2 linked regions of the Alligator mississippiensis genome follow. The protein of the gene in region 2 interacts with the protein of the main gene of each other region in a pairwise test. Links are inferred from orthologs where the notes say so. Each region holds a gene or a part of one and is shown on either strand. Other genes may lie near its edges.

Evidence for each region. The genes of interacting proteins can lie anywhere in the genome.
Region 1: the proteins of SEC22A (region 2) and pulmonary surfactant-associated protein C interact in binary tests that used the Homo sapiens proteins (3 or more experiments, as listed by UniProt). The two-hybrid records come from large-scale screens. The link is inferred for Alligator mississippiensis from reciprocal best matches to the Homo sapiens genes SEC22A and SFTPC.

What each region holds. Positions count from the first base shown.
Region 1 is NC_081830.1:21,487,042-21,490,790, reverse strand, and holds the start of pulmonary surfactant-associated protein C, read right to left. Parts: upstream 2,496-3,749; coding exon 2,454-2,495; intron 2,329-2,453; coding exon 2,182-2,328; intron 1,754-2,181; coding exon 1,613-1,753; intron 1,000-1,612; coding exon 889-999; intron 24-888; coding exon 1-23. UniProt on the Homo sapiens protein: Pulmonary surfactant associated proteins promote alveolar stability by lowering the surface tension at the air-liquid interface in the peripheral air spaces.
Region 2 is NC_081827.1:246,128,940-246,132,688, forward strand, and holds the start of SEC22A (vesicle-trafficking protein SEC22a), read right to left. Parts: upstream 2,495-3,749; 5' UTR 2,167-2,494; coding exon 2,153-2,166; intron 961-2,152; coding exon 757-960; intron 1-756. UniProt on the Homo sapiens protein: May be involved in vesicle transport between the ER and the Golgi complex.

The DNA.
Region 1 (3,749 bases), on a different chromosome or scaffold from region 2:
TCCTTTTCCTTGCCCTGCTTGAGCTGCAACAAGAAATAATAAAATCAGACACATGTGGTTTCCCACCCATCAGTGGCACGGTGAGTTAGAGCCAGGCCTGGGGGCTACAACTCCTGGATGTAGCCAGGTCCAAACTGTGTGCTCAGGTCAGCTTTTCCTCTGGGGAATGCAATGCCCATGATGCTCCAAGGTGTCCTCCACGACCACTGCACTGCATTAGCAATGCTCCCCCAGTGCAAACACTGCTTTGCCATAATATTGAGCTTGCACGCATGTTGGAGGGGCAGCATTGTCCAGTAGTGGGGCCAGGGTGAAGGCTTCTGGGTCGTTTCCCCGCTAGCCATTTTTTTGACAGGTGACCTTGGTGAAGTAATTTTCCACCTCGGCTTCCAGTTTGCCTATTAGGAAAATGAATAGCTTCCCTCTGCTCTGCATGAGTGCGGGGCTGGATCGATTACCTTGGCACAGCCCTCCGAAAGCCCTGGACAGGTGCCACTGCACAAAAGCAGTTTATGCCATGCGTGCAGCCCCATATGGCTGCATTCAAGCCCTGTCTGTGGGGGTGGGCAGAGGGCTCTTGGGCTGCCCCGCAAGCTGCTCGGGGCCTGGGCTGCCTGGGCAGGGGCAGCAGGAATCCTCTGAATAGCCATGCAGCAGTGGAGTTGTGGGCCCCCCACATAGCCTGTTGCCTGCAAAGCTGGGTCCTGTATCCAGGACCCTGTTCCTCCCAAGGCAAGTGAACCAGGACTGTGCAGCTTGCCATCTCCCAAGTAACCAAAGAACATCCTGCATCCTCTGCAATGTGTTGGTCTTTCCTGGTGTCCTACCCTCAAGAGCCATCTGCCCTGTGCTCCCCTCCATACCCAGAAGGCCCACCTGGGTGCTCACCTGGTGATACTGGAATGCCTTGGTGATGGCGTCCAGGCCCTGGATGTTGTCCTTGTCAATCCTGGTAATGTAGCAGGCTTGGGCCAGCCAGGATCTGTAGCTGATGATCAGCTGTTTGCAGACAGAGCACATGTTGGCTTCAGCCCTGGTTTCCTTCATGGCAGCACCTCATTTGTGCTTACCAGAGCTGCATGGCTGCTTCCAGTGGTGCAGCCCCTTCCACCTTTTGGCATGCACATTGCCCATCTGTGCCTTGTTTCCTGCCTGCCACACATAGCCTACAAGTCCCTTACCCCTTCCATAGGCCTGTCCTTACCCTAACTCTTGCCCTTTCATTTGGACCAAAGGTGCACCTCCCTGTCTCTCTGCTGATCACACAACACTGAGCAGTATTATCTTGCACTCTCTTCCCCTGACGAGCGGTTTCTCCACATCCATCTTGGACTCCTTTGCTCAGTACTTCCAAGAGGCCCGTGGAGAGACAGCACTTGACATCAGCTTAGTGCTGGCCCCAAGCCACAGAACCCAGAGATCCAGGGGCAAGGGCATATTTACATCTGGGGGCTGTGGACTGAGCCTGTTAATGAAACACCAGCACTGTCTCAGTTCGGTCTTCATTCAGCGTCAGCACCTTGACTTGTGAGATCAGGGCATAGCATGGGCCCCTGGGTTGCAACCCACCTCAGTCTGACCTACCAGCTCCCACCCAGGCCCAGCTGCTTACTTTGTTGTAGTCATACACGACCATGGCAGAAGAGTTGATGCCTTCCTTGACATAGAAAGTCCCTGCTCGTTCCTTCCTGCTCATGGAGAGCTGCTGTGGGGACTCCTCCCCATCCTGGCCCTGGATGGTCATTCGCAACACCTGGAAGCCAAGAAAATCCTCAGAGTCAGGTCTGACCAGAGCTGGGAGACAGGTGGTCTGAAGCAGGACAGGCAATGGTGCATCAGACGCTTGCTTCCATTGCTTGAGGAGGCACCCGCAGTGTCTCCCCCCATCAGTCCTGCCAGCCTCATGCAAGCGGAGACATTAGCAAACCAGGCCCTTAGGTTGGCACAGCATCCAGCGTCGGTTGTTGCTAAGATGTTTCTGGGTTTTTTGGTTTCTTTGCTGGCCTTGCTAATCAAGCCCCATTCCTCTAACATCCTGCCACAAACCCCATTTGCACTTGCCCACAGCTCCACCTACTCTCTTTGTATACCTGTGTACATGGCAGAGCAGCCCCTTTGGCCACCCCCGAGCACTAGCACAGTGATGCATATATTTTTGCATGTGGGTAATGCCCCACTTACCGTTTCTGTGTGCTTCTCAGTGATGTGCAAGCCCAGCAGGAGGAAGCCCACGACCACCACAACCAGGAGCACGAGCACCACCACAACAATCAGGAGACACTTGACCTGGTGGGGAATGCAGGGAAGCCGAGGGGAGGCTGTGTACCTCTGGGGGAGCACAAGAGGAGAGAAGGTTAGCACTAGACATAAGAGGAACCAGGGTATGATCGCAGGAGATGGCCCTGGGTCAGGGGTTGATTCATCGAGGGTAAGGGTGTGAGGATGCTCCTTACCGGAGGCGCCTCTACCAGAGCCTCCTTGCTGCTAATGTCCATCTTTCCCCTTGTCCTGTAGTCTTCAGTTTTTCCAGTGTCCTGCCAGCTTCTGAAGAGCCTGTGGGTGGCAAGAGGCTTATATAGCGGATGCTGAGGAGCTGGAGAAGAGAGCGGCGCTGGGACTCTCCAGGTTCTCTGGCTCCAGGTCAGGAGTTCTTGCAGGCTATGTTTGCTCGGGGCCCTTCAGAGCCGGCTCCCAGATAAGCCCCTGGGAACCTGTTGGCTGAGAGTCTCTGAGGGCTCTTGGCCCTGGGGGCACTTGTACACGTTACGATTGGCTCCATGCTCTTTGTTGCCCCAGAAGATGTACTTGCAAGGAATATGAGGGCCAAAGCAAACCCACTCTGAGAGCCTGGTGCTGCCCTTGGGGTTGGAGTATTCCAGCCTGTCAGTATGGCCTGGCTCGGCACCCCAGGTCTCCCAGACAGCTCGGGCACCTGCAGGTGCTTCAGCTATTCAAAGGAAAAGCTGAAAATTAAGGGCCTTCCAGGCTGTGCAGATCCAAGCTCAGGTTCCCACTGCTTGCTGACTGGCCTGGTCTGGGCACTTCCCAATGTGCCAGCTGTCCCGAAGTGACGTCTGACCTCACTGCTAGGTGCCAGCCAACCTGTAGCCCAGCTCGAGGCTGCTCAGACCTTCACCTGCCTGCATTGCCTCCGACCCCACCTGCAGCTGCCTGTGAACCTTGGGAAGGAACAAAGAGGGACTGTGGTCGTGGCACGCCGTCTGCAACCTGTAAGCTGCTCATCCTGCAGGTCCAGAGTGTGCACGGAGCAGAGGCTAGGTGTTCGAACCCAGGCAGCACTTTTCAGTCTTTGTGATGGCTTTGCAGACTCTGGGTGCGTGCCAGCCCCTTCAGTGGCCTGGGGTATTCTCCTTGCTCAGTACAGGATGTTCTGTGCCCAGTCTTCCTGCTTCCTTGCAAAGTGCCCACCCTGGAGAAATCTGGATAGAGCAGAGCCCCATGCCAAACAAATGAAACTGCCTGGATCAACTGGACTTCACTGTTTCAGTGAAGCCCTGAGGGGGATTCTAGCTGGCAGCTCCCTCTACCCATCTCCCCTCTCCACCCGGGATCTAAGGGAAGACCCCCCAGGCTGGTATGCGGCTACTCCCCCCTTGCTCTGCCTTTGTTAAGCCCTGTGGTTCTTGTTTATTTGCTGCCAGCATCTCAGCCTCACTGCCCAGCTGCAGCGGGTAAGAATGCCCTCTATAGAGCCATCACTCATTGTTGGCTGGGAGAGAGCGGTGCCT
Region 2 (3,749 bases):
TGGGCCCCTGATGGCCCTGGCCCTGGGGCACCAGCACTGGCCCTGCACTCCCATTCAGCTATTGCTGCGCTCATGCCCGTCCACCCATCTGCACATTGGGGTGTGTATTTTAAGCAGGGAAGATACTTCCTTCACTGGAAAAGCAGCAAGCCTGGAGCATGCCATGCAGCTGCCAAGATGGCAGAGTCCTTGTTAACTCTCCCAGAGCCACAGCCACTGGCTGAACACAGAAAACACAGAACCCGGTGCCTGAAGCAGCAACTGAGCTGGTGGCAGTATCTTGATGGGGGCTTGTAATGTGGAAACAACACTTTATTTTCAGGAACTTATATAAAGAACTACTTACTGTAAAGAACTAACAGTCTTGCTACTGCCCTTGCAAGGGTCTGGAGTCTAACCTTGTGTGACACTGAGCAAGTCCTGCTGGAAACATAGCAACTAGAAAGCCTGGCATCCCAGAAGAGAGTCTGGGTAAGGCAGCTGGCACCAAAAACTTCCTGGTGCCACATTTCCTGGATGCTACAATCCCAAGAGAACTTACTTAATGTCATAGAATTAGCCATGAGTATGGAAAAATCCTTTTTGTATGTTCTGCCTTTAAAAAACAAGGTATGCGCCTTATTTTGGAGAAGCAGGGTGTATGTGAGATAAGACAGTATTCTTAAATTGATTAATCACCTCTATACTGTAATTCTTAACTTGCTACAGCAGATACCACTAGGAAGCATTGCAAGGATAATGAGAGAAGAACCTTACTTTATGTTATACTGCCCCGTTTTCAGCGTACATCTGTCGGGAAGCTGAGCAAGTTTCCTTGAGAGCGCTTTAAAATATTTCCTACATTCCTGCACACCTGCACTCTGTTCACAATCTGTAGAGGCAGAGAGTGGGAGTCCATCCCTCACACGGACCACGGAGGCAGATAAGATCATAGACATCGCCAGCTGATTTAATAGAAACCTAAGAACAAAAACACACTCAAACTTATAAACACACTGGTTAAAATAAAAGCAATTTTTTCCAAAAAGGATCTGCAGCCAGATTAAACATCAGTCTATGATTAGAAGCAGTAACTGTGGCTTCAGGCTGCTGTAAATCTGGCTCAACCTTACCACACAGCACTGGGCAAGTCAGCACAGGACTGAAGCTTGAACACTAATTCACATAAAACATCCTACTGCATAGGCCCAACCATTTCCAAAGACACACACAGGATGCACAATCAGACTTCTGACTTATCTTAATAATATTATTTCGATCTTAACAGCTTGCAGAAGCTCCAAATGCAATTGCAGACCATTCTTTTATTTATCGTTTTGTATTACTGTAGCACTTAGAGGTACCAAGTGAAATCAAGGTTTTAGACATAACCACGCAAGGACATAATACAGCCTCACTAATCAAGAAGTCCTTGCCCTGAAGAACTTACACTATGAACAGAGGCAGCAGCAAAAAGAAGTTTTATTATCCACTTTTCAGAGAGGATGGTTACGCTGCCTCTCAGGACTTGCTGGTGGGCAGCCGCCTTACCTCCGTTTTGAATGGCAGTAGGTCCAGAGGAGGCTCAGTAAACCTCACCATGGCATTCCCCAGCTGGGCATGCAGGCAGCGTACATGTGCCCTGAAATCTGGGCCCTGCCTAGGTTAAATGTCAATATGTGCCTAACTTTAAACATATGCAGAGTTCCACTGAATTCAATACAGATTTTTAAAGCCAGGCAAAGGCTAAAAAGCCTCTGCTAAATGGAGAGCCACTTAACCTAATGAAGATCAAATAGAAAACTGGTGCACAGCCAAGAATACAACCCAGGGTCTCAAGTTGTAGTTAGTATCTTAAACACAGGACCTTTCCTCTCTACCTGGGCCTTAGGTTTTGGTATCTGTGAGATGAGTAGCAATATTAATCTAGCTTACACAATTGCCGAGTTGTTTACAATAAACTGTTTGTAAAAACACAAGAAAACCATACATGAGCTGTTATAAAGGACAAAAAAAGATACTAAATCTAATCTCAGAGATGAGGATAGCAATGAATAAAATAAGCCTGAACAAAAATTAGGCGGGCAAGGTTCTTTGGAGAGATGTGGTATCTTTTATTAGACCAACTGAGTAGTTGGAACAAGGTTCTTTGCAAGCTTCCAGGCACACGTACCCATCTTCAGGCATAGAGAGACTTCTGTTGTTCAAAAATTATTCTTTTTCAAACTATATAATACTGCTCTCAACTTTCTCTAGCAATTATATATGCTGTAGTGTGCTTGGCCTGCATGTATAAAACAAAAGCTTATTAAAATATTCATGACACCAAAGGAGAAAATTCACAGCAGACATTTTAAAACACACTCCCATGCAATCTTTATAAAAAATGACAAGATATATTTTTTAAATCTTCAAGCTGTTAAAAATGTAGCAAGACAAGTAGCATGTAGTACTCTAAAAGCAAAACTACTTGTTTGCTTAGAAACAAGGTAGAAACTTCTGTGAAAAGGAGGTAAAATTACTAGAATTTAATATAAATGAAAAAGCAGCATGCTTCCTTCCTCCTGTAATTCCAAACACCACAATATAAACTGCCCACCACACATACTATACATATTACCAGATAAAACGTCAAGAACAAAGAAATGTCTACCTCTGCCAGACTGTGCTGATGTAACCTAAGCAGGTCAAAGACAGAAAAAGAAAACCGATTTCTCAATACATCTGAAATACATATTCATAGTGTAAAATAACAGCAGCACATAAGGAAATGGCCACTTGTACATTTGGAGCCGTTTCAAGAGGGTAGCAACAGTTTCCCCTTTTGAAATGGCTCCAAATGTACGTGTCCTGGCTCTAGGTCAGAGCTGTCCAACTTCTAAGCACCCAGGGGCCATGTGTCCTGGGGACCTACACTTCCTATTACACCTTGTGATCCCCCCCCTCCTGCTGCAATGGTCACGTGCACTGGTACAATGCCCCCACACCCCAAGGCACAGCCCCAGACTCACCCTTAGCTCCTCATGCTGCACGTCATCCCATCCCCTGAAGTGCCAGAAGCTGAAGGAGGGATGGGGAACCTGGAGACTTCAACTGCTATTGCAGCCAGAGTGATGGGAAGAGCAGTGGCTGGGGACAGCCCAAGGGTCACACGGCAGTTGGACAACCCTGCCCTAGTTAACACCCTTTGGGCCAAGATTTTAGAAGTTCTTTACAACCTTTATGGAGCATTTCTAATTCGAAAGCAACTCTGAAAATGACCCTCACCTGCTCATACGTTCTCAAAACTGAACAACAAAAAAAAGATTATGTACAAAGTTAATTTTATTAAACGAGACTCATCCTAAGTGATTCACTTCATAAGCACAAAGACAGGTATAGTGTCCACAGTGAACATCTGTTTCTATTTTTAGTGTTGGAAGAGAAGGAAGGAATTTGATATTGTATTTCTTTAGTTCAGGGACTGGCAACCTAGGGGCCACAGAGCCCGTGGACATGGGACTTCAGCTGTAGGCCCTCTCCTGATGCCAATGCAGAGATAAGCTACAGGTACAGACGGATTCCTAGCACCCGTCCCCTCCGACTTAGGGTGGATTATTCCAGCCTACAGCTGAACAGGTTCCCACCCCTGCTGTAGTGATATTTCAGTCCCTTCTTATATACTCGACTCAACCTTTATACTGGGGAATCCATCGTGTTAACTACAAAGGTTCCCTATCACTACAGATTATTTCCCAGGAGTTGTCCCAGTGCCATTCTAATTTTATTGT